Linked DNA regions of Cricetulus griseus. The protein of the gene in region 7 interacts with the protein of the main gene of each other region in a pairwise test. Links are inferred from orthologs where the notes say so. Each region holds a gene or a part of one and is shown on either strand. Other genes may lie near its edges.

The links.
Region 1: the proteins of Sumo1 (region 7) and Rad54b interact in a two-hybrid assay, tested with the Homo sapiens proteins (2 studies listed by BioGRID and IntAct). The two-hybrid records come from large-scale screens. The link is inferred for Cricetulus griseus from reciprocal best matches to the Homo sapiens genes SUMO1 and RAD54B.
Region 2: the proteins of Sumo1 (region 7) and Tnfrsf1a interact in a two-hybrid assay, tested with the Homo sapiens proteins (2 studies listed by BioGRID). The link is inferred for Cricetulus griseus from reciprocal best matches to the Homo sapiens genes SUMO1 and TNFRSF1A.
Region 3: the proteins of Sumo1 (region 7) and Zmym5 interact in binary tests that used the Homo sapiens proteins (3 or more experiments, as listed by UniProt). The link is inferred for Cricetulus griseus from reciprocal best matches to the Homo sapiens genes SUMO1 and ZMYM5.
Region 4: the proteins of Sumo1 (region 7) and Sox2 interact in binary tests that used the Homo sapiens proteins (3 or more experiments, as listed by UniProt). The two-hybrid records come from large-scale screens. The link is inferred for Cricetulus griseus from reciprocal best matches to the Homo sapiens genes SUMO1 and SOX2.
Region 5: the proteins of Sumo1 (region 7) and Topors interact in a two-hybrid assay, tested with the Homo sapiens proteins (2 studies listed by BioGRID). The link is inferred for Cricetulus griseus from reciprocal best matches to the Homo sapiens genes SUMO1 and TOPORS.
Region 6: the proteins of Sumo1 (region 7) and Zcchc7 interact in binary tests that used the Homo sapiens proteins (3 or more experiments, as listed by UniProt). The link is inferred for Cricetulus griseus from reciprocal best matches to the Homo sapiens genes SUMO1 and ZCCHC7.

The regions. Positions count from the first base shown.
Region 1 is NC_048595.1:125,719,831-125,723,555, forward strand, and holds part of Rad54b (DNA repair and recombination protein RAD54B), read left to right. Parts: intron 1-1,924; coding exon 1,925-2,087; intron 2,088-3,725. UniProt on the Homo sapiens protein: Involved in DNA repair and mitotic recombination. May play an active role in recombination processes in concert with other members of the RAD52 epistasis group.
Region 2 is NC_048601.1:21,074,722-21,078,643, reverse strand, and holds the end of Tnfrsf1a (tumor necrosis factor receptor superfamily member 1A), read left to right. Parts: intron 1-1,157; coding exon 1,158-1,231; intron 1,232-1,361; coding exon 1,362-1,481; intron 1,482-1,734; coding exon 1,735-1,748; intron 1,749-1,913; coding exon 1,914-2,238; intron 2,239-2,349; coding exon 2,350-2,657; 3' UTR 2,658-3,211; downstream 3,212-3,922. Other genes in the region: Plekhg6 (pleckstrin homology domain-containing family G member 6), read right to left, coding at 3,592-3,601, 3,778-3,922.
Region 3 is NW_023276807.1:211,871,040-211,875,242, reverse strand, and holds the start of Zmym5 (zinc finger MYM-type protein 5), read left to right. Parts: upstream 1-1,323; 5' UTR 1,324-1,397; exon of another isoform or gene 1,398-1,557; intron 1,558-1,827; exon of another isoform or gene 1,828-2,030; intron 2,031-2,436; 5' UTR 2,437-2,492; intron 2,493-2,885; exon of another isoform or gene 2,886-3,039; intron 3,040-3,176; exon of another isoform or gene 3,177-3,349; intron 3,350-4,203. UniProt on the Homo sapiens protein: Functions as a transcriptional regulator.
Region 4 is NW_023276806.1:114,823,344-114,827,619, reverse strand, and holds the start of Sox2 (transcription factor SOX-2), read left to right. Parts: upstream 1-1,462; 5' UTR 1,463-1,768; coding exon 1,769-2,728; 3' UTR 2,729-4,276. UniProt on the Homo sapiens protein: Transcription factor that forms a trimeric complex with OCT4 on DNA and controls the expression of a number of genes involved in embryonic development such as YES1, FGF4, UTF1 and ZFP206. Binds to the proximal enhancer region of NANOG.
Region 5 is NC_048595.1:102,285,990-102,290,464, forward strand, and holds the start of Topors (E3 ubiquitin-protein ligase Topors), read left to right. Parts: upstream 1-1,545; 5' UTR 1,546-1,657; coding exon of another isoform or gene 1,658-1,700; coding exon 1,701-1,703; exon of another isoform or gene 1,704-1,849; intron 1,850-2,227; exon of another isoform or gene 2,228-2,721; intron 2,722-2,885; coding exon 2,886-3,083; intron 3,084-4,475. Other genes in the region: Ndufb6 (NADH dehydrogenase [ubiquinone] 1 beta subcomplex subunit 6), read left to right, coding at 523-591; Smim27 (small integral membrane protein 27), read right to left, coding at 1,220-1,342, 1,658-1,702. UniProt on the Homo sapiens protein: Functions as an E3 ubiquitin-protein ligase and as an E3 SUMO1-protein ligase. Probable tumor suppressor involved in cell growth, cell proliferation and apoptosis that regulates p53/TP53 stability through ubiquitin-dependent degradation.
Region 6 is NC_048595.1:98,697,344-98,701,543, reverse strand, and holds the start of Zcchc7 (zinc finger CCHC domain-containing protein 7), read left to right. Parts: upstream 1-1,220; 5' UTR 1,221-1,339; intron 1,340-4,200.
Region 7 is NC_048595.1:413,930,804-413,935,326, forward strand, and holds the start of Sumo1 (small ubiquitin-related modifier 1), read right to left. Parts: upstream 2,892-4,523; 5' UTR 2,747-2,891; coding exon 2,735-2,746; intron 1-2,734. UniProt on the Homo sapiens protein: Ubiquitin-like protein that can be covalently attached to proteins as a monomer or a lysine-linked polymer.

The DNA.
Region 1 (3,725 bases), about 290 Mb from region 7:
ATGCTGCACAAAGGACCAATGTTTTTATATTCAAGTGTCACAGGCTTTTTGGCCCATTTGCATACTTTGAGCTTCCTCAGGAATGCATTTTATTGCATGTAGTTTTCACTGAGCCAAAGGTTATCCTCTCAGTTCTGGCGTTCTTTGCCAGTGGGTCCTGCCAGTTCTTGTTGATTTGTGCCTGGGGATTCCACCCTTCTTTTTTGCCAGGAGGCTTACCTCACATGCTAATTTTGTAGCTTTGGATAAGTCCTCCTGACCTCACTCTCTACCCTGGCCATTCTAGCTCCTCCCTGAGCGCTTTTTGGGGAACTGAAGTTTAATGATACAACTTATAACCACTTCTTGCTGTTGAGGAAGGAATGTAGTTCCTTCCTGTGAGAGACCACAGAATTCTCTCTATTCATCATCTGATTGGAGAAGAGGACCCATACTCCTGTGGTAGGGATTGGCTGGGGTCTCCACATTAAAAGTAGTCTGGAGTTGCTGTGTCCTCAATGACTACAGAGGGTCCTGCATTCTGCAGGTCAGAGGGACTGGGAATAGATGCAAAGTTGTCAGGAAAGACACACAGACTTTTTTCTTTATTATTCTTTCTGTCCTTGTTCTACTCTATTCTTTTTCTGTTCTGTTCTTCTATCCTGATGTTTCCCTTCTGTGTCTTTCCTGATGTCTCTCTTCTCTGTCTTTATTCTTTTCCTTACAGCTCATATACCCCAGTGAAATCTTTCAAGCAATATAAAAATTACAGTGTGATTACATACTATTTTTTGCAAAATATTTTTTTTTTTTTTTGCCCCACCACCTGGGGCAGGGTGGTGGTGGTGGTGGTGGCAGTGGTGACAGTGGCAGTAAACACCTTTAATTCCAGCACTTTGGAGGCAGAGGCTGGCGGATCTCTGAGTTTGAGGCCAGCCCAGACTATGGACAGCTAGGGCTATTTCACAGAGAAACCCTGTCTCATAAAAACCAAAAAAAAATTATTTATTATGTGTATGGTACTCTGACATCTCTCCAGCCCCATGTTTAAGAGCACTGGCTGTTTTTACAGAGGTCCTGATTTCCAAGTCCCAGCAACTGTAAGATCCCCAGAAGCTCAGGCCCCAGGATCTCGGCCCAGGACCGTGGTCACCCCAATCACCAAGCGGATTTGAAATCTTGATGCAAACTGTATGAGGCTTTATTATAGTTTTGTAACGAGCTAACATTGGGGTTAGCTCGTGTCTTTCATTCACCCGCCATGGCGGATGGCTAGAAAAGACAGCTCGAAGCATCTGCATAGAGATCTTATAGGGCGGCGTAAGGGGAGTGTCTAGGGGTACGCACAGGCTCAGGATTGGTGTGCCTCCAAGCTTGGAGGGCTTGCCCTGTGTTGATTGGCCAACTGGTTGTTATGGCCCATAGGCCCTCCCAGGGTGGTTGCTATGCTCTGCGCCATTGCTGTGCACTTGTCTGTAAAGCACACCCAGAGCCATAAAGCATAGCACCACCAGCTAACTTCTGATTGGTTCCTTGCCACGAGGCAGGCATCTGACCTCTTAGTGACTAAGACAAGGTCAGACAAGCATGTGTTTGGCTGTTATGGCTGCCGAAATGGGGAGCTGGTCCCTTTATTCCTGGCGACCACTGAGAATCTATAAACACTGGCAAGTGTATCTTGTCAAATTCTGCCCCATGCCTTCAAGTGGAAGTGGCTCTTTGTTCTCCAAAATGTGGGGTGCTGTGTTTGCCGAATTAGTAGAGTGCTAGAATTATAGGATTATAGGTGTGTGTCCATCCCTAGTCCACACACACACACACATACACACACCACCACCACCACCACCACCACCACCACCACTACCACCACCATAAACGATGACAAGCTGTTGTGGTGTAGAAGTAATGGAAATGAGATAATATTGTTGCTGATCTTATTTTTCAGATTCTCTAGTTATGCCTCGGCCGGACAAGAATCACCAGTGGCTGTTCAATAGGAACTGCTTCCCTCTTGTGGATGTGGTGGTAGATCCTCATCTTGTCCGTCATCTCCGATCATTTCAGAAAGAGGGAATCATCTTTCTCTATGAGTGTGTGATGGGAATGAGGTAGGAAAATAACTGATAACAATTAGCTGTTTTGAGAAGAATCTGCACTATAAATGTTAGCTGGTAGGAAAAGCAACTTGTACTAAATATGTGCATTTTTCCACAGTGGTTCTTGGTGGAGCCTTGTGCTCCTTGTCCTGCTGAGAAGTAGACATTTAGGAGCAAGGACCTTAAGTAGCCTCTACCCCCACATTATCCATTTAATTTAGTCTTTTTATGGATATTATTTCACTGTTCCTCACAAAAACCCTGCAAGTTAGGTAGGGAAACTACCAGTTTCATTTTATGGACAATGATAAGAACAGAACTTTGCTTTCCCAACTATATGGCTAGTAAGAGGCAGTGTTAGATACAGATTATGGATTGTCAGCTTTTAGGTTGAAAGCTCTTTTCTCTAAACCTAAGATGTACCTCTGATATAAATATATGTGCATGAGCTGGGTGTTGTTGTTTCATGAATCCCAGCACTCGGGAGGCAGAGGCAGGTGAATCTCTGAGTTTGTGGCCAAGCTGGTCTACAGAGTGAGTTCCAGGACAGCCTCCAAAGCTACATAGAGAAACCCTATTTCAAAAAACCCCAAATAAACAAGCAAATAGATAAATAAATAAATGTACATATACTGTATGTTTACAGATACACACACACACACACACACACACACACACACACACACACACACACACACTTTTTTATGCTAGGGATTGAATCCAGGGCTTTGTACAAGCTTTTCTAACCTCACCAAGTTTTTTTTTCACTTAATCCTCACTTTCACATTGAACCAGCTATTTCCAGGCTTCAACAAAAGATCTAATTCCACAATATTCATGCTAAATTTATGCTTCTCTACTCACAAAGATGTGTGGATACTAAAAGTGTATTTGTTGGAAAGAACCATTCCTTTGACTTGAATCTCACAGCATAAGCAATGTGAAGGATGTTAATGGCCAAGGAAGTTGAGGAGAAATCAGTGGTATATCTCAGTTCCTCTCAGATCTCACTTCCATGAGGAGCTTCAGTTTAGATCCATCTGAAAGTGACACCTGGAGCTTTTCAAGAGCATCTAACTCTTATCAGTTTTTTAGTCCTCTTGGTGTGTGTGTGTGTGTTAATTATTGCGCCTTGAGTGCACATGTGCACGCACAAGGGTGCTCTTGAGCGTGTGCGCATCTGTGTATATGGACACAAGGACAATTTCAGGTGTCATTTCGTAGGTACCATCTACCTTGTGTTTTGAGATATGGCTTCTTGCTGATCTGGACTTGCCTATTTGGCAGACTGGCCTGTGAGCCCCCAGGGATCTGCCTGTCTCTGCCTCCACTGCCCTGGGATTACAAATGTGTCCCATAACGCCTAGCTCTTTACATGGGTTGTGAGATTGAATTTAGGTCTTCATTTATGCTGCAAATGGAACCATCTCCCCAGATGCTGCTTATAAGTCTTTATTTCTAATAGAACATAATTTAACAAACTATATTCATATTTTTAGTTATATCCTTAATTACATTGGACATTGTAACTTTTAAATATCATGTAATTATCTATAAAGAATCTCCTAGTGACTTTTCATTCTAAGTTATATTAATTGTACAATGTCAGACCTTTACCTAAGCTATTTTGGATGAGGATTCCATTGTCTG
Region 2 (3,922 bases), on a different chromosome or scaffold from region 7:
TCACAGTGTTCGGCCTTGAGGCTTTGGAGCCTGGGCTGAGGTTGAGCTTGGTGATCAGAGCACACAGTGGGGCAAGGCTGCTCATCTCATAGCAGCTGAGAGGCAGAAAGGGTGTGGAGTGGGGTCAAAGGCAAGCAACCAGTCCTCAGGTCCCAAAATACTGAGGATCCAGCCTTCACCACATGGACCCTGACAGGACGCTCCAGATCCAAACTGTAGGTCTCTCTGTGCTACAGTCCCACCAGCAAACACAACGATAAACTCAGTTCACTGACAGCTGCCACCTACTAAGTGCTCACCATTCAGGGAGAAGTACTTGACTCTTAATCCCCAAAAGTAAGAGGTGGTATGATCTCCCTGTCTGTGGGCCACAAAAGTGAAAATGGTTTGTTTGTGTTACGTCATTAGTCAGTGACTGGAATGGAATTTATACTCTGACCATCACTGCCTTTTCATTTTTTTTTTTTTAACTGTTGATTGACTGTGGAATCCAGGCTCTTGCATGATGTGTGTCATGCCTCTACCATGGAGCACACACAGAGACCTGCCTGCCTCAGTCTCCTGAGTGCTGCATGTGTCACCACGGCTGGCATTTAAAAAAATACTTTTAAAATATTTATTTTTATTTTATGTGTATGAGCGTTTTGCCAGCATGTATATATGTGTACCATGTACATGCCTGGCACTCTCAGAGGCCAAAAGAGAGCATCAGGTCCACTGGGATCGGAGTTACAGATGGTTGTGAACTGCTGTGTGGGACTGTGACTACTTTAGACTTCTCTACACACAGCCTACTTGCCTGTTCCCTTCCTCTCTCCTTCCTTTCCTCTCTCCATTCTTTCTCAGCAGGGTCTCTCCTGTTGCCCAGGCTGACCCTGACCTCGGTATGTGGCTAAGGATAGCCTTGAATTGATCCTCTTGCCCCTGCCTCCCAAGTGCTGAGATTGCACGCACACACTACCGGAACTCCTTGCTGTCAATACAGTCTTAGCAAGATCTCTTCAACTTGTAAAATGAAGTGGTTGCGTGGGGAACTGTTTCATTCTTCTGCATCAGTTCTCTAGTCGGGTTCCACTGTACTAAGAGATAGCAAAAATGATGGCAGAGCAAAGAGCTCCCACAGTCTTGCTATTCACCAGTATTGCCTCTCCTTCCAGCTGCAAAAAAAATCAGGATTGTTTCAAGTTGTGCCTACCTCCAACTGGAAATGTCACAGACCCCCAGGACCCAGGTGAGGAGGAGTGGCCTGGTGAGCTTGCTCACGGGCTCACCGGCTGGCTGCCTGACTCCCTAGCCTGCCCTCTGCCCTCCCCAGTCTCTGCTGCTACCTCATACTGAGCATCCTCTCTGCTACTCTGCAGGTACCCCAGTGTTATTGCCCCTGGTTATCTTCCTCGGGCTTTGCCTTTTATCCTTCATCTTCATCAGTTTAATGTGCCAGTACCCGCGGTGGAAGCCCAAGCCCAAGGTCTACTCCATCAGTGAGTGTGGGGTGTGTTGGTGGAGGTGTGGGAGGTGTGGGAAGATGGCGGGAGATGAGGCGTGGCCCCTTTGTTCATGGCTAAGATCCTGGATGACAGGAGGGAAGCCATACTGTATCAGTAATTCTCTTGTCCCTGGGGCCACATAGACCCTGAGGCATGACACCACAAGTCCCCAAGGCCAGGGTGCTGGTGTTGAGAGGGAAGTGAAATTCATGATGCTTTCTTTCTTTTTTTTTTTTTTTTTTTTCAGCACCTGACAAAGAGGTGAGAGGGAAACTCCAACTTCAACTTTCAAACTCCTGATACCCAGATTACTTGGACTGGGGTGGTGGGCTCCCTTAGTTCCTCTACCTCCACCCCCATAAGGAATCAAAAGCCCGGAGGGGCTCTTTTTCTTCCCCCACTAATATGCTGCCTTCTCTCTTTCAGGTGGAAAGCGTTGTTACTAAGCCCCTAACTCCAGCCCCCGCCCCAGCCCCAACCTTCAGCCCTACCCCTGGCTTCAACCCCACTCTGGGCTTCTGCTCCACCCCAGGCTTCAGTCCTGTCTCCAACACACCCATCACCCCGGGCCTCCCCTTCGACCCTAGTAACTGGCCCAACTTCAGGGTCGTGCCACCTCTAAGGGAGGTGGACCCAACTCAGGGAGCTGACCCTGTTCTCAACGCATCCCTCCCCTTCGCGTCCCACACCTTGCCGATCCCCACCCCTGTTAAGAAATGGGAGGACTGTGCCCACCCGCAGCGACCTGACGGTGAGTTTGGGCTCCCAGCAGCGATGGGGACTCTACTCCTGCAAGGAGTCGGGCAGGGCGGAGGCCAAGACGGCAGGGCTGCCGCTGAAGGCACACGGTCCTTGTCCCCAGCTGCAGACCCCGCGACGCTATATGCGGTGGTGGATGGCGTGCCTCCCTCGCGCTGGAAGGAGTTCATGCGGCTCCTGGGGCTGAGTGAGCACGAGATCGAGCGGCTGGAGCTGCAGAACGGGCGCTGCATGCGCGAGGCCCAGTACAGCATGCTGGAAGCCTGGCGGCGGCGCACACCTCGCCACGAGGCCACGCTGGACGTACTGGGCCAGGTGCTTTGCGACATGAACCTGCGGGGCTGCCTGGAGAACATCCAGGAGGCGCTCGGAAGCTCCGCCTCCTCGTCTGCGCCCTGCCTCCCGCGGTGAGGCCACACCCCGCCTCTAGGGAGGGACTTCAGGACAGTCCTGGCAAGAAGAAGCTCTGATGCCCTTTGGGCCTCCTCTTTGGACGAAAAGGAGGGAAGGGCATTGAAAGGGGCAGAGCCGAGCTAGCGGCCGCTTCCTTGGTGCTACGCCACTTGGTGTACATAGCTTTTCTCAGCTAACGAGGAACGCCCCAGAGCCAACTACTTGTGCGGGGCAGCAATATGTGCCATCTGCCTGCTCCCAGCAGGCTAAGGGTGCCAAAAGCCAGAACAGGTGATTGTAGAGGAAAGGGACACTATATCTCATGCCCACTTGGGGATGCACAGGACTCAAGCAAGGCTCCTCGGGACCTCCCCAGTTGGTTCCTGGGCCTTTTTCACAGTAGGTAAGCAATATTTGTATCAATTATATCACACTAAGGGAAACTCGGCTTCCCTTTGCTCCCTGCCTGGACAAACACAGCTGAACTGTCTAAGATAGGGGCAAGCACAGAACAATGGGGTCTCTAGCTGGAGCCGTGAACTCTTGTAAATACACTAAAAGTCTAAAAATGACCTCCGAGCTTGGAGAGGCTGGGCAGAGCCCAGGACCCGAGGAGAGGAGTGGCTTGGCAAATCCAGCCGTGCTGCCAGTTTACAGAGTAGACTGTGCAAGCATCCCCGCCCCGTGGGTGCCCATGCGTCCCTTCTCCCACCCTCATCCACTATGGACCAATAGCCATGTTTCCGAGCAGCTTTATGTGGGGCTCAGAGATGTGTCTGTGAGACACAAATGTACAGTTCTTGACCTCAGGGCCCCCAGAGCAGGAGGCGGGTGCCTGGGTCAGGCTTGGTTTGAAGTGGGTCCTTGAGGTAGAGTCCAGGGGGAGGGTGGTGACCAGCACTCTTGGGGAGACAATTCCTCTAGGAGATGTGACACTGGGCCTCGGCGTTCCTCACGCTTCTCTGTAAAGGAAGGAGACAGATGCATTAGGTCAAGGTCAAACGGCAGAGTGGGGTGACAGCTGAAGCTGAGTGCCCTCCCTGTGTTGGTCCCTGCTCTGCACTGCCTTCCTTAGAACAGCCCCTCCCTCACGTCACACTGCCCTTTTATGCCACAGTAGTTTCCCTTCTGCACTCACGATGTGGACAGGGGGGTGTCCAGCTGTATGATGTGGGTCCCCCTCATTCTCTGTAGCTGGGCTCGAGTCAACTTCCGGGGCTTGCCATCCCCAGGTTCCGAGGCTCCCTCGATCCTTTGGCTGGCCAGTTCCTCCCTTATCTCCC
Region 3 (4,203 bases), on a different chromosome or scaffold from region 7:
AGGGCTGTCTGTGCTAGATAAACACTGTCTCAAAAGAAAAAGAATCGGGTATTTTCGCATGGAATATAGCAACTTGGTCTATCACCAACTGCTTCGATGCAACTCAACAGCATCAGTTGTCATCCCGCTAACAACCGCCAGGGCGAGGCGCATCTCTCAGGTCTTTACTGGAGTCCTGGAAATCCGGCACCATGACATCCGTAGGTGTAGACGAGGAACAAAAGACCCTCGTGCCGCCCTCCCGCGGCTCCGCTCCGAACGCGCCCGGCGGGGCTCCCGGGCGAGGGTCGCTGCCCACGGGGCCACGGCGGGCAGGAGGAGCGGAGGGCGCGCGGTGGCCCGAGGCCCCGTCAACGTAGAGGACAGACGCCGGGCAGGCCCGGGAGCGCGCGCCCTGCCGGGCACCGACGGCCGAGCCCGCACAGCCCCGGACCTGGGGCGCGAGCCCGCTAGGGGGCCCGCGGCTTCCGGCGGCTGCACCTGGGCCCCGCACCGTCGTGTGGCCCCGCCGCAGCCTAGGCGCGCACGCCCTCAGCGGCCGAGCGCATGGTCGATGGTAGAGCGCGGTCCGGGCTGCTGCGGGCCAAGTTTCCCGGCCCCACGGGGCCCGGTGCTGATGGCACCAAGTTCTCCCAACAGATCCCACAAAATGGAGGACGACGTCTCCTCCCGCCGCAGCCATGGCGGAGGTGGGGGGCCGGCCATTCCCACGGGCGAGGCAAGGTGGAAGCGCCCGCGCGGCCGCCAGCGCGCCAGTGCCCTGCAGCCACGGCCCGGCCCGCCCCCTCGGCCCGCCGCAGGCACCGCGGGGCTCGCCCGTCTCCCGGGCCCTGGGAGGGGGGCGGGGGTCTGGACAGGGAGGACGCTGGGGCATCGAGGCCGCGCGCGTCTCTCCTCGGGCAGAGTCGCGGGGGACCGCGGCGACCGTCTGCAGGCCGAGGCCCGGTGGCCCGATCCCGGGCCCACGGGAAGCCTCGACGAAGATGCCCCGCCCCGAGGCCCGAACCGCGAGCCCTGTACTGCGGGCCTCGCCACTCGGGCTCCTGACCCGGGCGGACCCGGCGAGTGGGGGCGGGGCGGGGCGGGGGCACGAGGGGGAGGGAGGGAGAGGGAGGGAGGGAGGGCTGGCGAAGCCCGAGGCTGGCGGCAGGGGGGAGGGAACGGCAGGCCCGAGGGCGTGGCCCACATTTGACGGACAGCCGCTGCGACTACCTCACCGAGGAGGGTCGTGAAAGAAGGCCGGCAGAGCCAATGGACATGCCCGAGGCATTCCGGGCCGCCTTCGGCAGCAGCCAATGAGCGTGCGGAGGGCGGGGCGTCCCCGGGCTCCGCCGCGCCGCCGCCTCCTCTGCCTCCTCCTCACCAGCGCTAAAGCCGGGACTGGACCGAGCGGAATTGTGCGTGTCGCCGAAGGGGGGTGGGCCGGGGGAGGGGAGGTTCGTTCCGCGGAGCTGCAGCCAGAACCGGGTGAGGCTTATCCCCGCTGTCTTTCCTGTCGAGGGCCGCGGAGAGTGGGGGTGGCTGGGAGCAGCGCAGCCTCGGGAGGAGGAGACGGAGGTGGGTGAGGGCAGCGTCGGGAGCCTCCCACCGACCGGGTCTGAGACCGCGGTGGCGGATGTCGCCGCTGCTGCATTGCTGCTGCATCGCTGCTGCGTCGGGGCCTCGGGGCGCGTCGGGGGCCGCGCTCATGTCCCGGATGTCTTTGCGTGCGGCCCGAGGGAGTGCGCGAGCGCGGCGGGTGGGCTGGGTGGGGCGGACGCCTGGGCGGGGGCGGGGCACGCAGGGCGGGGCGGGGCGGCGGCTACCCGAGGTCGCGGGAGGTCGCGGGGTGTTTTCCTCGTTTTGTAGGCGGGTGAGGGGCCCGTTGGCCCTCCCGCCTGGTGGCTGCTTTCCCCATCTGCCCGATCGAGACCCCAAGTTTTCGGTGGTGACGGAGCCGCTTGAGTCCTGCGGCGTTTTCGCTTTTGCTCTTCTCCACCGAGCTGAGCAGCTTATATTCTTACGTGAGGCAATTTCTCCTGGCTGACTTGGTTGGTGCCTATCGCGGGCCTACGAGGCGTAGGAACCTTAGGTCCCGGGCAGGTGCTTGCCGCAATTGGGACCAGTTGTTGAACCGCTTCCCCCTTCTTGATACTGTTGTGGTGGTGGGGCGGTAACGCAGGGTGGGCTTGGGAGAAATAGGAATCCCTTACTGGCACTGGAGGACGCGTTTATCCTTCTGCAGAACTACTGGTAATAATGAAACTGGAAAGAATAGATCTTGGTCTGCTGTAGTATTTTAATAGTTGATCGCTATTTATTTGGAGAAGGTTGCTAGAAAAGCTCGGGACCGACTTCGCCTTGGTTTACTTCCTCCTCTGGTGTTCAGGGTTGAATGCTACCTCCTCCATTTGCTATTGGTGCTAAAGGGTGTTTTGTTTTGTCCTTGTACTCTAGGACTTTCAAGCCAATCTGGTGAAACATTTGGCAGAAATAAGGAAAACATCTCCATCGTGAGTCATTTTGCATAGCTTTCCTGTTTAAACTTACTAGGATACACTGTTCCATATGAGGTTTGCTCTCTTCTGTTATGTCAAGTTGCTGCTTGAGTGGTCTCTGCCCGGATAGTAGAGGCAGTGCCACCTGTGGGTACCACTAACATTTTTTTCTCTAGAACTCCTAAATAGTACTAAGCACCAATTCATTAAAATCCTGTGCACTTAATATTTTTGACCTCCTTTCCAATAGATATTTCTGTTGTTTTTTTTTTAAACTAGTAGTAACTATTTAAAGTAAGTTTTAAAATAAACGTTAAATACCTAAAAATTACTGGCAAATGTTTTAAGATTGAGGGAGAAAAAATTGAGTTCTTTTGGTTTGTAAAATATTTTATTTTATTTGTATAGGTGTTTTGCTGCTCGGGTGCAATGTTCAAGAACACCAGAAGAGGGCAGTAAATCCTTTAGAACTAGAGAGCAGGTTGGGAGCTGCACTGGAAGTGTGGGGACTTAAATCCTGGTCCCTTGGAAGAGCAGCCACTGAGCCATCTCTCCAGCCCTTGTGATTTTTCTTCCTCTTCTCTCTACCACCACCTCCTCCTCCTCCTCCTCCTCCTCCTCCTCCTCTTTTTTTTTTTTTTTTTTTTTTGGTTTTTCGAGACAGGGTTTCTCTGTGTAGCTTTGGAGCCTATCCTGGCACTTGCTCTGTAGACCAGGCTGGCCTCGAACTCACAGAGATCCACCTGCCTCTGCCTCCCGAGTGCTGGGATTAAAGGTGTGCGCCACCAACCCCGGCCCTATATAGTACTTGTTAACCCTATCTTTTTTATTTTTGAGAGAGAGAGTTGGATTCGCTGGAGCTGGAGTTCCAGGTATTTGCAAGTGGGATTAGTTGGGTGCTGGAATCAGAACTCTTCCTCTGGAAGAACAGCAAATGCTCTTAACTGTGAGCCATCTCTCCAGTATCCATCAGATGTGCCTTTTTAAAGTTAGGGTAGTGTCAGACTGTAGAATTCTCTGTCTAGTTTTTAAGAATGGATATTTGACTGGGTGTAGTGGCACATGCCTTTGATCCCTGTACTCAGGAGATAGAGGCAGGGGGAACTCTGAATTCAAGGCCAGACTGGACTATATAGAGAAACCCTGTTGGAGAGATGTGGTAGGGGGGAACCAGACACACAAAATTAAATAAACATTTTAAAAAATCATACAATTAAATAATACTAAATAAACATTTAAAAGAATTTAGACACTATAATATGGTGGGTTGTGACACATGCCTTTAATCCTAGCAGTTAGGAGTCAGAGGCAGGCAAATGTCTACAAAGTGTCAGGACAGCCAGGGCTATACAGGGAAACACTGTCTCAAAAAGAAAAAATACAATGGTTTTGATAAAGGTTTGCCAAAGGTGTTATGATCCACATGTTGCTGCTGCTTTAGAATTTCAAAGCCCTAGGGCATTGGTGGTGCACACCTTTAATCCCAGCACTTAGGAGGCAGAGGCAGGCAGATCTCTGTGAGTTCGAGGCCAGCCTGGTCTCCAGAGTGAGTGCCAGGATAGACTCCAAAGCTACACAGAGAAACCCTGTCTCTGAAAAACCAAAAAAAAAAAAAAAAGTAGTAGTAGTAGTTCAAAGCCTTGGGGCTAAAGAAATGGCTCAGACATTAAGAACATTTGCACTTGAATATTAACACCCACGTGGCAGCTAACAACTGTTTGTAACT
Region 4 (4,276 bases), on a different chromosome or scaffold from region 7:
GGACGTGGTGCGGTGGCTCTGGGCTTTTTGAGCGCCTGCCGATTGAAATCTTTACGTATGGACAATGGGAGATCGGCTAAAATTACCCTCTCGGGTCTTGGGCGGGCAAGATTCTTGAGCCCCTACCCCCGCCCCGGCCCATCATCCTCCAGCAGCCTGGGATTGCTGGGGCCCGGCTCCCGGGGTTCCGCAGGCCTTATCCCTACACACTTGGCTTGCACCTGTACCTCTGAACCCCGCGCGCCTCCCAGGCCCCAGTGCTTCCCTAAACCAACTCGGCCGGGCCTTCACGGCTACCACCGTGCCAGTCAGCAGGGGCAATGCCGGCAGCGCAGCTCCCATCCTGGGAACGCTGCGTGGGAGGGAGTTTGTGAGCACAGCCCAAATGCCACCTCTGTGCCTCACGGTAGGATGCCAGGAAGTTGCGTGACCCTCCCCCCATCGCTGCACTCTGGAGTCTCTTTCTGTTGATTCTTTCGTCCCCAGGCTCTCATCTGAAACTGCCACCACTGAAATCCTCCTGTGTCGGGGGGTGGGGGTTAGAAAGAGAGTGGGAGGAGAGTTCAAGCTTTGCCTTTGCACCCTCTGGATGGGACAGACTGGTGGAGGAGGGAGTTAGGGTTGAGGACACGTGCTGCGGTTCCTTAAACCACACCTGAGTCAGGCTAGAAGACTGTGAACAAGGCCTGTCCCTAGCTCTGCTCTTCAGTGGGCCAAAAAGGCAGAGGACTTTTGTTTGGGAACCAAGCAGATGACGTGGAAGTCAGGAGGGCACTGGGGCCCGAGGCTTGGGTCTAACTTCTTGTCTGTACTGTGAGATGAGGGGGTTAGGGGGTGTTGGCACCAAGGTAGGAAGAGGGGCTGGAACCGAGAGCAGTGCCTCGGATGAGCGGAGGAACAATGGCACACCACCTCCGGCCCTGCCAGCTTCCTGAAATACTAGTTGGACGGTCGCCCTGAACCACCCATGGGCCCTGCCCCACCCTGGCCCCAGCTCCCCGCGCCCCATCCTCCCTTATGTACCCAAGAGGGAGCCAATATTCCGTAGCAAGGGGGGAAGGAGCTGTCGTCTTGGTGCTGTTTACCCACTTCCTTCGAACAGGCGTGCGCCGTGACCTGTTGCTGAGGAAGGGGGATACAAAGGTTCCCCCGCGGCCGGCTGCAGGCTGCGGGCCCGCCTCCCCCGCGCGGCTCTGGGCACAGCGCTCTGCTGGGCTCGGCTCGGCGGCGCGGCAGGCCCCGCCCCCTTTCATGCAAAACCCTCTGGCGAGGCTGGGCTCCGGCGCAGGAGCCGGCGCTTGCTGATTGGCCGCCGGAAACCCATTTATTCCCTGACAGCCCCCATCACATGGATGGTTGTCTATTAACTTGTTCAAAAAAGTATCAGGAGTTGTCAAGGCAGAGAAGAGAGTGTTTGCAAAAAGGGAAAAGTACTTTGCTGCCTCTTTAAGACTAGGGCTGGGAGAAAGAAGAGGAGAAAGAAAGGAGAGAAGTTTGGAGCCCGAGGCTTAAGCCTTTCCAAAAACTAATCACAACAATCGCGGCGGCCCGAGGAGGAGAGCGTCTGTTTTTTCATCCCAATTGCACTTCGCCCGTCTCGAGCTCCGCTTCCCCCCAACTATTCTCCGCCCGATCTCCGCGCAGGCCGTGCACGCCGACACCCCCGCCCGCGGCCCCTGCAGCCCGGCCCCCGCGCGCGGCCCCCGCAGTCCCGGCCGGGCCGAGGGTCGGCGGCCGCCGGCGGGCCGCGCCCGCGCCCAGCGCCCGCATGTATAACATGATGGAGACGGAGCTGAAGCCGCCGGGCCCGCAGCAAGCTTCGGGGGGCGGCGGCGGAGGAGGCAACGCCACGGCGGCACCGACCGGCGGCAACCAGAAGAACAGCCCGGACCGCGTCAAGAGGCCCATGAACGCCTTCATGGTGTGGTCCCGGGGGCAGCGGCGTAAGATGGCCCAGGAGAACCCCAAGATGCACAACTCGGAGATCAGCAAGCGCCTTGGCGCCGAGTGGAAACTTTTGTCGGAGACCGAGAAGCGGCCGTTCATCGACGAGGCCAAGCGGCTGCGCGCTCTGCACATGAAGGAGCACCCGGATTATAAATACCGGCCGCGGCGGAAAACCAAGACGCTCATGAAGAAGGATAAGTACACGCTTCCCGGAGGGCTGCTGGCCCCGGGCGGGAACAGCATGGCGAGCGGGGTTGGGGTGGGCGCCGGCCTGGGCGCTGGTGTGAACCAGCGCATGGACAGCTACGCGCACATGAACGGCTGGAGCAATGGCAGCTACAGCATGATGCAGGAGCAGCTGGGCTACCCGCAACACCCGGGCCTCAACGCGCACGGCGCGGCGCAGATGCAGCCCATGCACCGCTACGACGTCAGCGCCCTGCAGTACAACTCCATGACCAGCTCTCAGACCTACATGAACGGCTCGCCCACCTACAGCATGTCCTACTCGCAGCAGGGCACCCCCGGTATGGCGCTGGGTTCCATGGGCTCGGTGGTCAAGTCCGAGGCCAGCTCCAGCCCCCCCGTGGTTACCTCTTCCTCCCACTCCAGGGCGCCCTGCCAGGCCGGGGACCTCCGGGACATGATCAGCATGTACCTCCCCGGCGCCGAGGTGCCGGAGCCCGCTGCTCCCAGTAGACTGCACATGGCCCAGCACTACCAGAGCGGCCCGGTGCCCGGCACGGCCATTAACGGCACACTCCCCCTGTCGCACATGTGAGGGCCGGAGCGCGAACTGAGAAAGGGAGAGATTTTCAAAGAGAAACAAGGGAATTGGGAGGGGTGCAAAAGAGGAGAGTAAGAAAAATCTGACATGCTCAAAGAAAGAAAAAAAATCTCATTACCCGCAGTCAAATGACAGCTGCGGAAAAGACCACCAATCCCATCCAAATTAACGCAAAAACCGTGTTGCCGACTAGAAAACTTTTATGAGAGATTTTGGGACTTCTTTTTGGGGGACTATTTTTGTACAGAGAAAACCTGAGGGCGGCCGGGAGGGAGGGGTAATCGGACCATGTATAGATCTGGAGAAAGAAACTACGCAAAACTTTTTTTTTTAAAAGTTCTAGTGGTATGTTAGGCGCTTCGCAGGGAGTTTGCAAAAGTCTTTACCAGTAATATTTAGAGCTAGACTCCGAGCGACGGAAAAAAAAGTTTTAATATTTGCAAGCAACTTTTGTACAGTATTTATCGAGATAAACATGGCAATCAAATGTCCATTGTTTATAAGCTGAGAATTTGCCAATATTTTTCGAGGAAAGGGTTCTTGCTGGGTTTTGATTCTGCAGCTTAAATTTAGGACCGTTACAAACAAGGAAGAAAGAAATTTATTCGGATTTGAACATTTTAGTTTTAAAATTGTACAAAAGGAAAACTTGAGAGCAAATACTGGCAAGACTATTTTCTTGGTCTTGTTTAAAAAGGGCAAATGTTCTAGATTGTACTAAATTTTTAACTTACTGTTAAAGGCAAAAAAAAAAAATGTCCATGCAGGTTGATATCGTTGGTAATTTATAAAAGCTTTTGTTCAGTCCCACCTTTCCATTTTGTTCAGATAAAAGAATATGGAATTACTGTGTTTGGAATATTTTCTTATGGTTTGTAATATTTCTGTAAATTTATTGTGATATTTTAAGTTTTTTTCCCCTTTTATTTTCCGTAGTTGTATTTTAAAAGATTCGGCTCTGTTATTGGAATCAGGCTGCCGAGAATCCATGTATATATTTGAACTAATACCACCATCCTTATAACAGCTACATTTTCAACTTAAGTTTTTACTCCATTATGCACAGTTTGAGATAAATAAATTTTTGAAATATGGACACTGGAATTATGCCTGAGTCTTTCATTTCTTTGGCTAGCAATACTTATACATAACTTGGGAAATTAGAAGACCATGCTGAGCCACCAGGCTTGACGTTACCAGCAATGCCTGTTAGCATTAACTTTAGAAGAAAAAGATGGCTGGAAAACTGAAATGCGCTGTCATTTCTAAAACAGAAACTAGAGACATATATTGTAAGTCCACGCCCTCCTTTCCTAAGCAGCGTGAATAAACGCGATGTGGGCTTAAGCTAGCTTGTACCACTTGTTGCCAGAAGGAGTCGATTCTGAAATTTTCATGTAGCTTAGCAGATGGGGTATTGAGCCAAATCAGAGCCAGGTTGGCTGGGTTTGTTTTCATTTTCTTTACAACACAATGGCCCTTTGAAATGTGGTTTATAGGGGAAAATGATGCTTCTTGTATCGGAATAATTACAAAGTAGAC
Region 5 (4,475 bases), about 310 Mb from region 7:
ATCAATATAGGTGGAAATATAGCATCCAAATTGAGATTTTTAAAAAAATTATTTTTATTTTATGCACATTGGTGTTTTGCCTTCATGTATGTCTGTATGAGGGTGTCTGGTCCCCTGGAACAGGAGTTAGAGTCAGCCGTGAGCTGCCATGTGGGTGCTGGGAATTGAACCCAGGTCCTCCGGAAGAGCAGCAGTGTTTTTAACCACTGAACCATCTTTCCAGCCCCCAAATTTAAATGTTTTAAGTAAAATGGAAAATAATTTTGAAAGTTTGTTTATTTGAGATAGGGTCTCTCTATGTAGTCTTATTTGTTCTGGAACTTGCTGTATAGACCAGGCTGGCTTCAAATTTAGAGATCCACCTGCCTCTGCCTTTAGAGTACTAGGATTAAACGTGTATGCACTACCATGCCTGGCTTAATTGTGAGTTAACAAAATGTAAAGTATGCTTACAGTAATTTATTGTGTTAAATAGATGTTGAAACATTTTACAGTTTACTAAACATTTACTTGTTTTCCTAGGGTGATACAATTCTGGAGACTGGAGAAGTAATTCCGCCAATGAAAGATTTTCCTGATCAACATCATTAAAGAGCACTTAAAACTTAAAAGACTTGTGTAACAGCAAAAGTCTCTTCATATAGTTCGTATTTACTGAATCTGTTTCCTGGAAAAGTAACTAATAAAGCTTATTCTCAGAGTGTTGTTAATATTTCTTGAGACCGACAGTAAAAAAGACAAATACTAAAGAGCCATCAGCTACTTTTTTCCTGTCCGTTTTGATAAACAGGATGCAAAACACGTTTTAATCACGTGATAGGTTTGTTTACATACTGATGTGGCATGAGGTTATGAAGTGTTTGAAGCACTAGAATGAAAATCTATGATCTGGCCCTGTAGTGGTGGCACACGCCTTTAGTCCAAGCACTCAGGAGGCAGAGGCAGGCGGATCTCTGTGAGTTTGAGACCAGCTTGGTCTACAAGAGCCGGTTCCAGGATAGACTCCAAAGCTACACAGAGAAACCCTGTCTCGAAAAACAAAAAACAAACAAACAAAAAATCTATAACCTGATACAGAAAGAAAGGGCTGTTTGATCCATATGAAAAATTAGCATGCTAACGCGTATCACAAAAGACCATACACAATTTTGTATTGTGAATTTTACTTTTAAGTCTACATAGGTGCCATTTGAGGGACAAAACCAGGTTTTGCTGGGAACTACCAAAGTTCGTTCATTTCAAAGAATTTGTCTGGAAAAGCCTTCTGTAGCTGTCGTCGTGCAGCTACAGTTGATGCGTAGATGACGAATCCCCAGGAGAGCAAAACGATCACAAGTAGCAACTAAAAGAGGGGAGGAAAGGCGAAAAGAAAAATCAATGTGCTGGGTAGTTGGCCTGCTCAGGCCAGGTTACCAGCTAGCTACAGGTGGGAGCAGCCTGTCAGGCACTAGGACCCAGGCCTGAGGCCAGGGCCCGATAGCCATGACGTCAGGGGCGGAAAAGCGTGTCCTCCAGGAAGAGGCGGAGTCGGGGGCGGGGCGTAAACGCTCAATATAGGAATGGGTTTTGGAGTTCCGAGCTGTAGACGAACAGTCGGCCTTTGCCTCGCGGGCAGAGGGGTGCGGCGCCTGGGAGTTCCATCGTCCTCGCTACCTACCGCGGAGTAAATCCAGTCCAGGGTGCGGCGACTCACGGGCCTCATGGTAAGGGATCAGCAGGGGTGGGGTGGCGCGGACCTAGAGCTCGCTCCCCGAAGCCGTCCGCCCCGCTGCAGCAGCCATCTTTCCGCGGTTCCCGGCGCGCTTCCGCCCGAAGTTGGGGCGCGTCACGTGATCCGGGCCTAGCCCGCCTTTCAGGCAGCGGAGGAAATAAAAAATTTTAAAATCGCGCTTTTTTTGCGCTTAGATGGACATTCCTCAGTCCCCTTTTCCTCCAGTCGCAGTGCCTTATAGCGCAGAATAGTGTGCCATCGTGTGCATGTGAGTTTATTTGAAAATAGGCTGTTAGAATTAAAGTTGCCGTCCCATACCCGCGTCCGTTTCCACAAGATGTGGATAAACGATTATATGTGTATGCTTGGCACGAACAGTATCATCCACTCCCTTATGTAACTGGAGAATCGTTGTAAACTGTTAGTTCGGCCATTCATCGAGAACGTCTAGTAAGAATGCTGTCGCTTACTACTGGGAATGTTTTTAGATATGTGGCATTTTTAAAAATGTGTTACCCGCATGGTGGACCTGCCACTCAGCAAGTGTCGACGGGATGTTTAATCGAGTCTAGGACCTCAGCAAATGTGAAATACCAAGTCCCAAGGAGAGCAGTTTGGCAGGCGGGCAGCTCGGCCTGAGGATGCTGGCGACGTCCGCCCAGGAGCCCTGGCTGGCGGAGCCCGGACTGCGCGGCTTCGGGCGCGGATGTCAGACACGGTTTTAGTCTGGATTGCAGGGGCGGGAAGGGGAAGCAGGCCGCTAGGAGACAGGCGATGGCTGGGGAAGTGCTCGACGCCTGGTGTTCATCCCAGCTAAAGAAGACATGGGGACGAAGGCTCTGTGGGACTCGGTCCGATTCTTGTTACACTCGAGAGGATTACAGGAACTCGTCGAAGTTCGTGGGGTTTCGGTTTTTCCGCGTTATTTGGCAGCGATGAGTTCGTGCCTTTCCGCCCCCACCCCCAAACACGCGCCCCCCGTGGTGGGGGGCTGGGCAGGGTCTGGCGTCTGCCCTAGGCTCCGCCCCCTGCGGGCTCCTTCCACGGCGCACGCGCCCGGAACGTGGGGGGTGGGGCCGCCGTTTGCTGGGCGGGCTCGGAGGGGGTGGAAGGATGGGCCTCGCCTTCTCTCCGCCCCCAAACTGCCTTTGGTGATGAGCGTTCTACGTCACAGGGGTCGCAGCCGCCGCCGCCGGGGTCTCCGCTGTCTCGCGAGGAGGGAGAAGCGCCCCCTCTGGCGCCTGCTGAAGAGGGGAGGCGCCGAAGCCGCCGGGTACGCCTTCGCGGATCCTGCCGCCACCGGCCGAGCTTACTGAACCGACGGGAGCTGGCCTCCAGCGGCCCGGCCGGGCCTGCCCCCGCGTCCTCGGAGGTGAGTCCGGTTTGGCGGGACCGGGAACGGGCCTCCGAAGGCCGGGGTCGCGATGTCGCTACGACACGGGGGCACCTGTGGATCGGTGGCGGTGGGCGAAGGAGGGGAGTGTCACACAGCGCCGCCCGAGGAGCGCGAGCTTGAATGAATACTGGAAAGTGCAGTGTGTCCCAGCAGAACTGCGGCCCCTGCTAGGAAGTGTGACCTTGGCGAGTCCTCAGCCCCTGGACCCAGTCTGTGAAATGGGAGTAGCATTTCAGTTGATCCTTGTTATGTAATGTATGTCGTGTGTCTGTCTTTCCATCCATGCCAGCCGTTTTCAGGGCAAGGAAACCACTAAGACAGTGAAGTTGTGCAGTATTAAACATGTGGGCGGGCAGGGTTTGTGTGCCTTGCAACTTCATCACACATCTAGTTAGTGCAGCTTTCCTTCTGGGCTGGTAATTCTGATTTGTAGACTGGAGAGGGGCAGTGAAGAAGTAAGCACAGGGATTTAAGACTGAAACTGGAAAGCGTTTTTTGGTGGGTAAGTTTCTAGATTAAGAAACAGAGAAACAGGTGCTTAAGATTTAAGCTACTAATAGGTAGAGATTGTTGTTTGGGAGGAATTGAGGGTTTGGATTTTTAGTACATGAAATGCAAAAGGAAAAGCCGCAGTTGGCGCACTCAATCATCTTATCTGGAGTGAGTGGCTTTCACGGGGAATAGTTCTCAAGCAAACCCCTAATGCCCCATTTTGGGGCAGGGACTCTTGTAGCCAAGACTGTCCTGGAGTTCTTTTGTAGCAGAGGATGACCTTGATTTTCTGACTACTCTTGCCTTCCTCTTCCAGTGTGCTGGGAATGCAGGGTATTCCAGGGTGCCTGGTTCGGATAAATTATTTTTATACTGATATTTGAAATCTAGCTCCAGCCTTCAATCCCAGCGCTTGGGAGACAGGCAGGCTAGTCCCTGAGTTCGAGGCCAGTGTAGCTTAGAGTAAGTTCCAGGACAACAAGGGGTACACAGAGAAACCCTGTCTTGAAACCACCCCTCAAAATAAGAATTAAGTTTGGTCACTTATGTCCTATAACTTTTAGAATTGATTACTCAGACTTACAAATAGAACCCAGATGGCTTTTAACAGCCATTGTTCTTGTTTGTCTACATCTACTTGTGAATGTTATTAACCACTTTGCTTAGATACATTAGGTATATAATTGTTATTTATTACTATTGACTATTTTTGGAAACCTATCAGTTATTGATGATGGTCACTATCAAAATCAAACTTTTCCATAACTTATGCTGCTATGTTGAGTTCTTACTGTTCATCAAGCACATGAATTATATCCCTTCACATAACTTTTTTTGTCCTCTTTCAAATGAGTGCTGGTTGCCAGGCGGTGGTGG
Region 6 (4,200 bases), about 320 Mb from region 7:
TAGAAGGCTGACAGCTTTGGCTCTTAATATATTCAATGAAAGTTAGCAAAAAGATTTACAGTCACACTCATCTATCAGAGATGTCAGTACCTAACCAATTGGTTATTTGTAGGGCTACATAGATTTTTTGGGGAGTGGGGTAGGGTGTGGTATAGTAGACCAGGCTGGCCTTAAACTCACAGAGATCCACCTGCCTCTGCCTGGGATTAAAGGCGTGTGCCCCACCGCCCATGGATTTACTGTTTTTTGTTTGTTTGTTTTTTGTTGTTGTCGACGTCGGGTTTTGTTTCATTTTGATTGGGAAAGCTCAGACTGTCTTTGAATGCTTTCGGTAGCCAAGGATGAACTTGAACTCTTTTATTTATATTTTCCTGCCTCCTGAATGCTAGGGTTACAAGCTTATCACTACATAGGTATAAGTGGCGTTAAGGAATGAACCCAGGGCCTCCAGCACGGTAGGCAAACACTCTACCAAATGAACTACATCTCCCGCCCCATAATTAAACATGTTTTAAATGTGTGGCCAGGGGAATCAGTGCTGGAAGCGGCTAACATGGTCTCGTAGTAGTATCCAGAAGGAACACCACTGACGCCACCTTGCAGAAGTGCAACTCTTCAAGGTTCACAAAGGGTTAAAAAGGCGGAAGCACCACAGCATGCCCTTTACAGCCTTAGGGTAGAAAAGCCCTCAAGTCACCTGTCACATGGAGTGGGGGAGCGGACGACAAAAACAAAAGCCAGACCCTCTCTAAAAAGCCTTTTCCCACGGTGGCGTTCCCAGGATCCCTCTCCGAAGTCACCTACCAAGCCTGAATCTTCTACTGACCGAGACCTCAACCCGAAAGTGTCCCAAACCTGCTCTGCGGCCACGTGCTACTACCAGGGCGTCACCCAGCGCGAGGAAAGAGGCGGCCCCTGTCGACCCGTCCAAGGTATCGTGGGAATTGTAGTTTTTTTCCTGTCCTTCGAAAGTGAGTTCACACTTTTGCCCTGCAAGGATCATCTCTTCCGCCTAACTCAGTAAGTTAAAATATGCACCATAATTTTTTTTCACCCGAGATATTTTTCGAAAGAAAGCATGCAGAAAAAGGAACAGAGCCAAACTTGAAGTTTACAGGCGGAGACACAAAGGGTTAATAGTTACTACGCATGCGCTAGGAGGACTCGCGGGTTGGGCGGAAGGACAGCTCCTCAGAGCTGAGTTTTCCCCGGAAGTGCCTCCTCACCTCTGGAGTCCGCGCGGATACTGCTTCCTTACCTCATTTGTCTTCGCCCCTCCCCGTTCCTCTACGTGTTTCGGTTCCTGGTTGGTGCTTCCTGGTCGCAGCCGCGGCAGTGAGTATGTGTGTGACGGACCCCGAGCGGTCCGCGACCGGGGACCCCTGCCCCGCCTCCGCCTCGCCCGCGGGGCTGTGGAACTAATGTGTGCCCCTCCCTGGCCTTCTCCTCCCCGTCCTGCGTGGCGCAGCGCTGCGCAGCTAATGGCCTCTCAGCTGCGCGCTGCCCCACGCGGCTCAGCGGCGGAGCTGGGCTTTCGCGGCTCCCTGGCCTGAGACCCGGGCCTAGGAAAGGCAGGGTGACGATGGCCTTCGCGGGCACTTCTTTTCTGTCTGCTTTTCCCCGCCGCTTCCCGTGGTTCCTCTGTCCTGGGGAAGCGGGTCAGTCTGTAAACGTGGAGGCCTCCTTTCGTCGCGGGGAGCCTGGCGCTCCAGGGTGCGCCCAGTCCCGGGCCGCCCTAAGCTTGTGCTGTCAAGTAGCCGCTGCTGGTGTGGACCACAAAGAATCTGGGAACTGTGCCCCATTCCTCTATATAACCAGTATACGCAGAGTATCTTTCCCAAGATAACCCTTTACTCTCACACCCCAACAGGAGACAGTTGTAGTCAACTTTAGGCGAGAGCTGCCTTTAACAGTGGGAAAACCATGGTGGGGAGTTGTCAGGCCTGAGTTCCAGCTGACGCTCAAAATACCTTTAGGCCAGAGTTTACCGGGATTTCAGGGTTGAATGAAGGAAATTTTTCGCCCGTTTTCTCTGAGCCTGTATTTCCCAAGTATAAAGCCATCCTTAATTTAATGACGAAGCTGCTTTAAAAAGCTCTTGCCTTCGTTTTGAACATTTGAACCTTAAATTGAAGCGTGTATATTTAAGACAGTGTTACGATTTGGGGACAGTTTAGTATTGTCATTCAAGGCAATCAGAAGATGGGTAAGGAACTGAGGAAGAATTAGGGATGAAAATTGAATAATAGCTACAAGGTTAACAGTGCATGGGAAAAGGACAACAGCTAATAGGGAAAGGTATTGTTTCCAGATAGGGTCCCAAGAGTGCTTGGAAGTAAGCCTAAGTAAATTTAGCATACTTTTCTTCTACGGAGACATGGCTGTAACATATTTGGATTCTTTACCTCGTTTAGTTGGAAAGTGATAGTAACATTTGAAAGATGGACAAAAATTTTAACTCCTGTGATTTTGTATCTTTTGTCATTTCCAGTAGCATACTAAAAGTTGTAATTCATAAACCTAAGTTGAGAATAAACTATGTATTAATCAGATTGTTCATTGATAACTCTGGATTTAAAAATCCAGTTGTGGAGCAGGTGCCCAGCTTCAGGTAGAGCACTGGCTTAGAATGCCCATAACCCTGGATACAATCCCCAGCACCACAATATGAGTGAAACCAAATCATGGATTTAAATCTACCTAAGATGGCCTATGGCATCCAGAAGGAAGAAATACTTTGGAAGGAAATTAAGAGCAAACTGTCCAGAATGACCATAGATAAACTTCTAAGGAGAACTATTGACTTTACCATCTTAGTAAATTTTGAAAATGTAACCTTTGTCTAGCTTAAAGAAATCCAGTGACTTAATCTGCCCCTACCCCTTTTTACTACAATGAGTGTTTAATGTTATTTCTTTAGATAAGCCTTATTCCCACTTTTGATATTTCAGATTTTAAAATATGATTAGTCTTCAGTAGTCATAGGGCTTTGATAAAGTCTTTTATTTACCTTTTGGGGATGGGGTACAGAGTGGTTGAGACAAGATCTCTTGTAGTCCAAGCTGACTTGAAATTTACTAAGTAGCCAACCTTGAACTCCCCATCTTTCTGCCTCCATCTCCCAAATGCTAGGATTACTTTGTGCCCCTGTGCACCACCACACGGGGCTTTGATAAAGTTTTTTTGAGTACCAGTTGAGGAGTTTCTTAGATAATAAATTTATGTTTAAATGTCTCCTTCTCCTAATTAAAATATCTTTCAAGTTTTATTCCTGTGGGAAGTAAATGGATATGTCAGATAAATTTAGGTGTTAGAACCAGTGCACATAATGGAATGTTTATTTGAATTTATTTATTTTAAAATTTGTGTTTTAAAATTTTAGTGATACTTGCCGTAGAGTCAAGAACATGTGAATCATCCTGGCTGTGTCTTAACTAACTGTCCAGCCTTGAGTAGGTCTCATCATGTCCTAGGATCTGTGTCTTCATATGTATATAAAGGGGGCTGTGTGAAGTAATCCAGCAGGTACCTTCTAGATTTAAGTGTTTGTCATAATAAACATGTCATGTTACCTAGTAAAGTATGCTGGGAGTCAAAATGAACAGAAGCTATGAAACCCTTCTGAGTCAAGGGATGTGTATATAGATATATGCATATATACATTACATTCATATCTGAGTATACTTTTAGAAAATTAAGTGAATTGATATAATTAAGGTTGTAACAAAACAAAACAGCTTGAGGCAAACCTTAAACCTGGCATCCATGAACTACATAAATAGAAGAGAGCATGTTATGCCAGAACACAATTTTCAAGTACAGAGGTACAAAATCCTCTTAACAGCCATAGGGGCTAAATTGTTAAATTCATTTTTCTACATTTCATGGAAAGAGATAAATCCTTAGACCCAAAGAAGTCAGTTTTTATTATGGCTCCGTAGTTTATTTTTGGCATACATTCACAGGTGTGCCTATGGCTCTATTCTTAATCCCTTTCCTTTGGGATGGCTCCAAGAGTAGTACAAATTTGTAACTCTGTAATTTAGCTCTTTAATTTTTTTTCTGTGCGGCCCTGGAATTAGGTTTTATCTTAAGTCCACACTGGATCCTCAGGATGGATCCACTGAGGATTTTGAAGGAAGCATAATTCCTTTGACTTCTTTTAGAATTAATTTACCTATTAAATAAAAAAGGAAAGAA
Region 7 (4,523 bases):
ACTCTCAATTATTTACAATCCCATCAGCCTGGCAATGGTGGCACACACTTTTTGTCCCAGCACTTGGAAGGCAGAGGCAAAAGGATCTCTGAGTTTGAGGCCAGCCTGGTCTGCAGAGCAAGTTCCAGGACAATCAGGGCTACACATAGAAACTCTGTCTTAGAAAACAAAATAAATAACCCCTAAAATGTTAGCATACTTTTTCTTCAAGTCAAAATTTCTAAAAGTAGCACTATTTCACACTCTTGCATATTGCTTTACTGTGTAGCTCAATTAAAAAGACTTGTTTTGGGCCAGGTGGTGGTGGCACTTGGGAGGCAGAAGCAGGCAAAGTGAATTCCAGGACAGGCTCCAAAGCTACAAAGAAATCTTGTCTTGAAAACAAAACAAAACAAAACAAAAGTTTGTCAGGTATTGTGATGCACATCTTTCACTCCAGCACTCAGAGGACAGAAGCAAGCAGACCTCTGTGAGTTCCAGGCCAGCCTGAACTACAGAATGAGTTCCAGGGCAGCCAAGGTTACATAGTAAGACCCTATCTCAAAAACAAAAGAAAATCCCAGCACTTGGGAGGCAGAGGCCAGCCTGGTCTACAGAGCAGAGTTCCAGAACAACCTCCAAAGCAATACAGAGAAACCCTGGGGGGGGGGGGGGGGAACAACACGGGACAAAAAAAAAAATAAACAAATCACACATGGACTAGCCAGGTATGGCATAACTCTAATCCTCCCTACTCTGCAACGATAAGTGAGGGAGGAGTATTTATTCCGAGTTCAAAGACACCTTGTGCTACAGAATGAAGTTCAAGAACAACCTAGGCAACATAGTGAGACTAAGTATAAGAGATTCGGATCTAGCTCAGTGGTATAGTGCTTGTCTGGCATGTACACATGTGAGCCCTAAGTTCAGTGCCCAGTAACAAGTACTACACCCTAGTGTGGCTTCACAGATCCCCTGAAAACAGCCTGTGTCCTAGGTTCTCTTTTCCTTTCTCCATAATCTTTTTTTTTTTTTAATAGTTTTTCAAGACAGGGTTTCTCTGTGTAGCTTTAGAGCCTTTCTCCATATTCTTAAATGATGTGAGTTCAAACTAGAGCAAAAATAATTTTAAAATTTCTAACTGTATGTTGCCCTTCATCAGGCTGACATGCCTTCTAGTTCCTTCTAAAATAAAAGACTGATGAAACTAAGCATTTACAGCTCATCTTTCCTCCCTTACTCGGAACTATCTGGAGAGATATTCATAAACGAATTTCTATCCAGATTAAACAGAATTAATCCAGATTATTTATAAACAAATCTACCCCACAATTAATCTACATTATGGATAGGCTACAAAAATAGAACCATATTATCCAGGTGGTGGGGAAGCATGCCTTTGATCCCAGCACTCAGGAAGCAAAGGCTGGGAATCTCTGAGTTTGAGGCCAGCCTGGTCTACAGAGCAGTTCCAGGTTAGCCAAGGCTACACAGAGAATCCTGTATCGAAAAACAATTAAATAAATAAATAAATAAATAAATAAGATTAAATTAAAAGAAAACAGTTCAACTACACTGTGGTGCTGAATGAAAAGTTTACTGAATAATTATCATTATAGACAAACGTCAAAAAAAATTTGAAAATTCAGTCCTCTAAGCAAACAAAAGGAAAAACAGATAAAAATCCTATGTATTAAAACTAGCCACAAACGTGGTAAACAAAAATGGGATGAAGGAAATTAAGGTGGCAGTATTCCTAATTTGAATGCCAATACCATGCAAATTCTTAACATTAATACGGAGACACAGCATTTTACTATTAATTGGCAGCTTTCTGTAAACATTCTGCAGCTGTAAATATTCAGTTTTTCTATTTTCCTCAAAAATATCACCTGGAAGAGGGTGATATGGAGGTGCATATAACCAAGATACGTCGTTTACGTGTATAAAATTGACTATGTTAAAAAAAAGTGCCATTTTTGAAAATGTAACAATCATAAGCAGGCTAATGCCCAGATGAAATAAATGGCTTGTTGGTGGTGGTACTCTAACCTAGTTTCGTTTGTTTCTCGGTTATTCTGAACTCTCCTACAACTAGAGAGTTGATGGACCAATCCCGAGTAAGAAATGGAAAGTACAGAAAAAGAGCCGACCGATCCGCACCCCCCAGATGGAAAAAAAAAAAAAAAAAAAAGACGCAGAAGGGAGCAGAGGCGGACAGGCCCTCCCGGCAAACACAACGGAAAGCAGCGTCTTCTGGGTCCCAGGAACCTCAGGCCAGGCTTCCTCTCCGCCCCCCACTCCGAGACCAAGAACCCAAAGTGGAGTGGAGCAGCTTTTCGGGGCTACCTACCCTCCCAGTCAGGGATTCCCTCCCGTTACATAACTAGGCCTGGGGCCCTGTTTCTGCCATCGGTCCTCTGAAGGGAAACGGTCGATTTCTCTTAGGTTGCTCTCGGGGACAGAGGAGCGGGCCTGGGCCCCCGGCGGACCCGCGAGAAACCTGGGAGCCGTCGAGAGAGCCGCGGCGCGGGGCAGCGGGAGGGGGGCGCGGGGAAGGCGGCGGAGGGCGGGTGTTCCCCGGAGCCCCGCGGTCCCGGGCGGCTGGGCCCGACTCGGCCGGGCGCTCCGCGTCCCTCGCGGCCCCCTCCCCAGCAGCAGCCCCCTCCCCCAGCTGCGTCCCCTCCCCCGCGCCGCGGTCCCCGGGCCCAGCCAGCGGCCGACAGCTCTGAGCCCCGATGCCCTGGCCCAGTACCTGGTCAGACATGGTGATGGTGGCTTCGCCCGGGGGTCTCCGCACCACAGCGGCCTCCGGCAGGCAGAACCTCACTCTGAGGTTTACAAATCTGTCTCTTCCCCACAGCACAACACCGCGGCTGCAGGGACTTCCGCTACGTATTGCGTCACTTCCGCTGCGCGCAAAGGAGACTTTGGGAAGACGGGAAAAGGAGGCGGGAAAACGCCTTGGGGAAAGGCCTTGGGGCGTCTGACCTGTAAAATTGCTTGCCCGGAGCAAGAGAACGACTGTGTGTTCTGCCGCTGGGAGACCCGGCCGGCTGCCTCAGCCCCCTAGGGAGACCAGGGCATCGCCACCAGGCTGAATGTTTGGGGTCAAACCGACATCCTAGACTCCTCCCTCTCGGACACCTTGCGCGCTTCTCCGAGCTAAACCAAGTTCTTTTGTCTGCTCCCAACCTTACTAACCGTCCCTAAATATAGGGAATCGCCGGTATAATATTTTTATTACCTTCTCTTGTTTGCTGCCAGCACACTCATGACCTTGATTTAGGACCACAACGAAAAGACGACCCCTTAGAACACATATTTTTTGTTTTTATTTTTGTTTTTTGAGCAACCCTGGCCGCTCTAGAACTATGTAGATCAGCCTGGCCTCGAACTCACATAGAGTCTCCTACCTCTGCCCCCAGCTCTAGGACAGTTTTAAGAGCTGTAGATGACTAAAATGTTGAAAGTTTTTAAGTTTGAAGTTATAGGCAGAAGGAGCTACCTCCAACCTATTAACTATTTGCCTTTCGTCACAGAAAGACCTAAAATTCTTTGACTACCACGACCTTCTTGCACAGGCATTAAGTGTGGATTACGGATATATAAGTAAAAAGAGTAAAATTGAAAAAATAATTGTTGTGTGTGTTTTTCCGATACAGAGTTTCTCTGTGTAGCTTTGGAGCCTGTCCTGGAACTCTGTAGACTATTCTAGACTCTGCTGCGTTAGAGGCATGTGCCACCACGCCCCCCAACCCCCGGCAAAAATGAAAATTCTAAATAAATCAATAACCTTTCACAGTATAAGACGTTAGTAAAAGAATCTTTTCGGACTGGAGAGATGGCTCAGAGGTTAAGAGCACTGACTGCTCTTCCAGAAGTCCTGAGTTCAATTCCCAGCAACCACATGGTGGCTCACCATCCCTTATGAGATCTGGTGCCCTCTTCTGGTGTGCAGATATACATGGAAGCAGAATGTTGTATACATAATAAATAAAATCTATTAAAAAAAAAAGAATCTTTTCTTAGGGGCTGGAGAGATGGCTCAGGGTTTAAGAGCACTGACTGTTCTTCCAGAGGTTCTGAGTTCAATTCCCAGCAACCACATGGTGGCTCATAACCATCTGTATTGTGATATGGTGCCCTCTTCTGGCATGCACTGTATACATGATAAATAAATAAATCTTTTAAAAAATCTAGGAAGTCTTTATTTAAAAAAAAAAAAAGAATCTTTTCTATAGTTAGTAATGAGGCGACTAGAGATGGCCCAGCGGCCAAGGAGCACTGGTTGTTCTTCCAGAGAACTCGGGTTTGATTCCCAACACCCACATACTCATTCACACCTAACCTGTAACTCCAGTCCCAGAGTACCCAATGCCTTTTTCTAGCTTTGTCAGCACCAGGCCAGGCCTCCATATACGGCATAAACATGCATGCAGATGAAAACACCCACCCATACACGTTTAAGCATTTAAAAATTAAAAATAGCAATATAATTGGTAATGAGACTACTGGAAGTTCACATGCAAAAGAAAGAATTT